Linked DNA regions of Nothobranchius furzeri. Each later gene encodes a partner of the first gene's protein in a complex. Links are inferred from orthologs where the notes say so. Each region holds a gene or a part of one and is shown on either strand. Other genes may lie near its edges.

Evidence for each region.
Region 2: the proteins of mapkap1 (region 1) and rapamycin-insensitive companion of mTOR are in contact, whole or in part, in a cryo-EM structure (PDB 7PE7), measured with the Homo sapiens proteins. The link is inferred for Nothobranchius furzeri from reciprocal best matches to the Homo sapiens genes MAPKAP1 and RICTOR. Residues at the interface, in NP_001006618.1 of Homo sapiens: Ala2, Phe3, Leu4, Asp5, Asn6, Pro7, Ile9, Ile10, Leu11, Ala12, His13, Ile14, Arg15, Gln16, Ser17, His18, Thr20, Ser21, Asp22, Asp23, Thr24, Met26, Cys27, Met29, Val30, Leu31, Ile32, Asp35, Val36, Ser84; in NP_689969.2 of Homo sapiens: Arg108, Gln137, Glu140, Thr144, Leu147, Arg148, Arg151, Lys152, Thr155, Arg182, Met183, Arg185, Ala186, Ala189, Cys192, Glu193, Leu196, Leu220, Arg222, Ile223, Glu225, Ala226, Leu227, Thr229, Thr230, His233, Asn236, Arg293, Trp295, Glu844.

Annotation. Positions count from the first base shown.
Region 1 is NC_091746.1:37,017,455-37,019,813, reverse strand, and holds the end of mapkap1 (target of rapamycin complex 2 subunit MAPKAP1), read right to left. Parts: intron 2,294-2,359; coding exon 2,196-2,293; intron 1,193-2,195; coding exon 1,070-1,192; 3' UTR 628-1,069; downstream 1-627. UniProt on the Homo sapiens protein: Component of the mechanistic target of rapamycin complex 2 (mTORC2), which transduces signals from growth factors to pathways involved in proliferation, cytoskeletal organization, lipogenesis and anabolic output.
Region 2 is NC_091757.1:36,632,797-36,636,527, reverse strand, and holds the start of rapamycin-insensitive companion of mTOR, read right to left. Parts: upstream 2,868-3,731; 5' UTR 2,641-2,867; coding exon 2,526-2,640; intron 2,401-2,525; coding exon 2,353-2,400; intron 342-2,352; coding exon 244-341; intron 1-243. UniProt on the Homo sapiens protein: Component of the mechanistic target of rapamycin complex 2 (mTORC2), which transduces signals from growth factors to pathways involved in proliferation, cytoskeletal organization, lipogenesis and anabolic output.

The DNA.
Region 1 (2,359 bases):
GACGCTCGACATTTTCATTAGTTGTTTCCTCGTGCTTCGATCCAGCAGAGTGGCAGTGACACAGCAACAATAGAGAACAGGATCTGTGCATCACTGTACTGAACCTTCATGGTCATCGAATCAAAACATCTCTATTTTAATTAAACATGGGATTATTATAAAATTACTGGTGTCATTCTCTACAGACAGTTGGAAAATTTAAAAATGCCGTTTATGTCCTGTTCCTCTGAATTCATTTTCATTAAGTCTCAGTGAGTTTGTCTTTAGTTCGTTCCAAATGTCTGGAAGCATTTAGTTAAACCAGTCTCTCACTGGGCTGTCAATGGAAGCAACACATTTCTAACACTACTGGTAGACTTTCCAGATCGCCTTTAAACCCTCGCTGGGATTCTAAACATCCGTTAAAATGATGAGCAAAAGTTTTCGCCAGTTAGCTGCAGGGTTATCTCATGCTTCTCCAACCCATCTCAGCTGCTTCTTAATTAATTTTCATGAAAAGAAATAGTAGCTTTGTAGGTGATGGTAAAGCGTAGGGCCAGAAATAACCCAGGTGTCTGGTGCAGGTACCAGATGGTTAAAACGATGCTTTCAGAAGGAGGACTGGAGAAAGAAGGTAATTCAAAGCAGTTGAGCTAGTATGGTTTGTAATATTTCATTTCCTGAATAGAAAATGTTTTTAAACAGTACATAAAAACAGGCCCACTCCAGTGGGTTAAAGAAGGAACAGAAGCAGATTTTTGCCTGTAGCTGTGATCTGTTTGTTGGGCTAACTCGACCAACTTGTAGAAGTTTTACAAATACATCTTGAAAGACAGAATTTAAATACAGAGGCAGTGAGAGAACAAAATACTTGACTGCTACACAACAGCCAAACTGTCCACAGTTCTTCAGTCTGTTGAAATTAAGTTTCCGTTTTGACGTGATCTGCTCCCTTGCGGAGATTCAGAGACTCCAGCTTGGATCAACGAAAGCAGGAAAACCTGCCTGTTATCCTGTAGGTCTCCAGCTCCGGATCAGGAGCATCAGAGAGACAGATGGTCAGGAAAAGGTCTGCACCAGCAGCTTCTGTCTACTGACCCGTCTTCTTCTCTTTCTGGAAGCTGAAACTTGTCCGACGACTGAGCTTTCTCTGCTTCTGGGCATAGTAATCAGCCCGAGAGGTGCTGGCCCGAGACTCCAGGATGTAGTTAACCTACGCAAACCCCAAAACACAAAACTGCTTCAGTCATAGCATGTATGGCGTGATGATGGAATGTGTTCTGCTCAGATATCTATTCAAGAATATCACATCTGAACCGTCTCCATCACTGGAAAATGGTCTCCCAGAGCAGAAAGAACCGGATATTTAGGGATGCTGTGGATGATGGATGACGGCATTTTTATGAAAATCACTCAAGGTACATTTGACATAAGTGGTTTCAACAAAAACAGCCAGAGTGGGACTTTAATACTCCACCACTGGTTATCCTCAAAGGTTCAGAAAACCTCAAACTAAACAAATAATCAAAATAATGAGGAAAATAATTATTCTTTTAACTTTCTGGTGAACCAGATTATCACCATGAGCTGCAACATTCCTCTGACCTGAGTCCAGCTGCAGCACTTTGGTGAAAGCAGCATTTCAGTCCCATTTACAAATATCACTGTCCATTATGTTCATTAAGGACGTTTTTAATTAAAGAACATGTGATAAAAAAGCCTAACTGAATTAGAGTGTTGAAGAGTTGCTCCAAATGGACGCACAGACATCAGACTGTAAACATCTGTCAGGCCTGGGCTCAACTTCCTGTTGGGGCGACAGTGGCACAGGAGTTAAGTGCTCGCCTCGTAATCAGAAGGTTACAGGTTCGAGCCCCGCTCAGTCTGTCGCTGTGTCCTTGGGCAAGACACTTAACCCGCCTTGCCTGCTGCTGGTGGTGGTTGGAGGGACCAAACTCACCTCTGTCAGTGTGCCCCAGGGTAGCTGTAGCTACAGTGTAGCTCATCACCACCAGGGTGTGAATGGGTGAATGACTGATTGTGTTGTTAAGCGCCTTGGGGGGTTCCAGGGCTCTAGAAGGCGCTATAACAAACACAGGCCATTTACCATTTAGGTAAACAATTTAAACCAATGAGTTTCTTCCACAGCAGTAGAGAAATGTGAGTGTTTGTCCTCAGACAGGAGCAGGTTACAGTCAGAGTCAGAAAAAACTCACCTTCAGCACTATTTCATTGACCGTAGCAGCATCAGACTCAAAGTACAGAGGCTTATAGTCATGGTTGCTCAGATAGGTGAGTTTAAATATAGCATGACCTGTAAGGCAAGAAAACAACAGAAAAAGCACATCATCAACTCTCTTGGTTGTGTGGAGTCCACCAG
Region 2 (3,731 bases), on another chromosome or scaffold:
TTTTGTCTGGTGTGTGTTCTGTGCCATCTTTTAGGTGGGAATTTTACTGACACACAAGCAAACTTCGGTACACCATCTTTGTGGTCATAATATCTACACCCTGGTATAACTTTCAGAAACATACAGATGTCATTTAGCATCACAAAGTTCCTGTGGCTAGAGAATGGTTGAAAACTACATTTCAACACTGTTTAGACAGATTACACAAACTGTGGATTTGGACCATCAGATCTGCAGTAGTACCTTAATGAAGTTGTTCAGGTGGCCCAGTTTTCGCATGTTACTGACTCCATGAGGTTTGGCCACATTTTGGAGAATTTCACGGAAGTTTTCAGATGGTTCTGCAAGGGAAAGAAGAAGAAAACAATGCAACGTAACAAAGTGTGAAGCCATACTGGTATAGTATCAGTAATTGATTCACTGCAGGAAGGAAGACGGTCCAGCTCATTTAGCGTGTACAGTCAAAACAAGACGCAATTAAAAGAGCAAGATGTGAGCAGGTCAGCATTTGGTTTGCACGTCCTTCCAATTTATATGTGCTGACCACAATGTTATTGACATAAGGAATGTGGCTGTAAAACAGAGAACTCTATTGGCAAGAAGGATTAATAACTTGACATTGAAATATTGTGAAACCCAGGAAAAGTTCCAGCAGCTCCAGACACTAAAAATACATCAGGATAACCACTTTACAGATTTATTCACATACACCAAGTCCACTAGAACAACTCCACAATAGCTTAGCAGGTTTCAGGACTTTGCAAACGGTTGATTTATTTTATGAATTAAAACAAACATGCACAATAAATCTATGAATTTCATGTTGTTTACTTTTCATTGAACTTTAAAAAACAGCAAACATGTACAACCAAATATCAAGAAAGAAAATATGTTATACAGACTCATCAGTTTGATTTGATGCCCATTCAAATATATATTTAAGTATCTTATATTAGAGGTGGATTTGAAAAAAAGAGCAATGACAATAACTTCAGATAATAATCCTTCATTTAGAGCACAGACTTAGTTTGGTTTCCCTATTTGTAACAATGCATTAGTAGAAAAGTGTACATGCAAATCATTTTAGAAGCATTGCATGGTGGTTTTTTTTTTATTTCAATTTCAGGGCAGGATAAGTGCCAACCATCCAGATTAATCAAAGCTAATCGCAATTGCTTTGTGTCTTTTAAAGATCATTTTAACCCATGACAAGTGTTATTTACGCATGCTTTGATTCTGTTGAACATTCTATTGTTTAACAGTTTGGAGTCAAGCAACCCAATCAATCTTAAAATCTATGATGTCAAGCGCTGAATACAAGTACAAAACAAAAAGTATAATCTATTGAGATTTGATATTTTTGTTTACTTTAATCACTTTCCTTTACCTATTAATAACTTAGTTCAAGAGATAGTGAAATTACTGTAAAAGCCTAGAAACAGCTACAAAAATAACAGTAGACTGTAGTTTGTTGTGTTTGTTGAAAGATCCTCACAAAGAAACAGTTTGCAAACTACAATTAAAAAAGTAACTCATAATTGAGCTTTCATGTCAGTTAGCACTCTCAGGTATCATGAAATCTCATTTATCTGTGCATTCTTCTAGTCTCCTGCTCATTTTGTATCATTGCTTTAAGTTTTTTAGGAAGATTTGCTGTTTTTGTATAAACTGTAACTTTCTCAAAATACTAAGCAAGAACATTGACTGCAAATTAGCCATAAGTAGAAGTTCTTTACACGGAAACTTGATATGAAACATGGCCTCTTTGTATTTTGGCCCTCAAGATATATATGTTTAAAACCTGCAGAGGAAAACTATCGTCACTGATATCTCATATGTTAAACGCCTCCAGCTCCTTATGTCAGCAGATACAACAAAATCCTGATGGATGATGCTGTTCACGAGTGTTCCGTGTAAACAAACCGGTGTTGTTGCTGGAGCAGTGTTTCTGACCCGGCTGAGAGGCTGTAGCTCAAGAACCAGCCTGTGCAGCCATATGTGCTACTTAGCAAACAGCCAGTACACCCAGTTCCTCGTGCAGTCAGTGATGACCGATGCATGAGCTGTCTGGCTGAATAACAGGCTCTGTATCCTACTAGCACCGATCAAAACAACAGCGCGTCGTCATGGCTGGTTAGCTGTGGCAGCTAATCCAGCTCGTTTGTTAGCTCGCTACCGCCCGTTGTTATGACTAGTTAGCAATGTTTTTACACGAAACAGAAAGGAAAACTGACTAAGTAAGAATTGCAAATAAAAATACATATGCACGTCATGGTTTGAGTTTCGTTTAATGGGGCAGTGTTTACAGCAAAGTGCCATGATGATCCATTTTGAAGAATAATCGCTGATTACCTCTGCTTAGATCCAGCGGTACGTTCTCCTCCCCGCTGTCATTCCGACCTGACAAAAACACACACAGTGTACACAAAAACACATCACTCCAAGCTCATCGCGTGTATGGGGTCTTCTATTTTGCAGATTCCCGCTGTTACACCTGTCATTGAACAGAGTTTTTTCAAGCTTACCTCGCATCCGAAGACTCCGTATAGGACGGCCGCGGAAGCTGGCCGCCATGTCTCCAGGAACATACAGTACACACAACACCGGAAACTTCGCGGAATCTCGCGACAATACACGCATCAAAGACGTCGTCTGCAAACTGGCTACGACAGACCCAGTATAAACTATATACGGTATTAATGTCGATGGACAGACCCAGCAGACCTGAGACTAGACCCCTCTGCTCAAAGTCCCTCTGTTGTTTGTGGATATAAAAACAGCAATCTGATCTGGGGACGGGGTTAATCACAATAATCAAATTTCACCACTAACCTCTTTTCATCCAAAAACACATGAAAGTAAAGTTGTTGTAGAGTTTATGACCATTTCAATCATGCCAGATTAAGACCATGACACTTTATTATTGTGGATTAGTATTATATATTTACACATTTTCTTTGACAATTGACTGCTTCTCTTTGATTAATTGATTAAACTAGTAAGGGTTGACTTAAGTAGTGTGATCTAATATTTATGAACAATCCAAACTGTTTTCTAAGCAAATGGTTCCCAATCTTTCAGCTTCAGACCCTCAAAGTAGCAATTGTCAAGACATGTGACCCACAAATATCTGATTTTAAACCATGCATAAAAGCTTAATAATTTAGGGCATAAGAAAACTGCTTCAGTTCATGTACAGTAATATACATTTATGACAATGTAGTTAAGGTTTGTAACAGTTATTATAAATAATATAGCTTCAGCAATCTTGGAAATTGTCTCAAGACCCCCCATGTGGTTCTTGGTGACCCACAGCAGGATCCCAACCCTAGCTTTGGAAACCACTGGATATTTTGCCCATGAAAGCCAAAACATTCCCAATTTATTTCACAAATACAACCTACTTTAATGCAACAAAGATATATTTAGCTATCTGGCAATGAAGTATTGCAAACTAGCCTAGTAATGTTCCCATTTTGCTTTCTTGATGCTATAAATTGTTAGGATGAACACATTTATTTTGGTTAAACTTGAAGGTTTCTAGCAGTTGCCACAACTTTTGCTGCATTACACCTAGGCTACAGTATGTTTACAAAAAGCAAAATGGCTGTTTTTTTTACTTGACTTAAAATGACTAAACTGCATAGTAACAGTCAACATGCAGTGTTAACCTGCTGAAGGTCTCTTCACAGAAACATGGCAGTTAAGTCTGCAAGTTAACGATGTGAAGG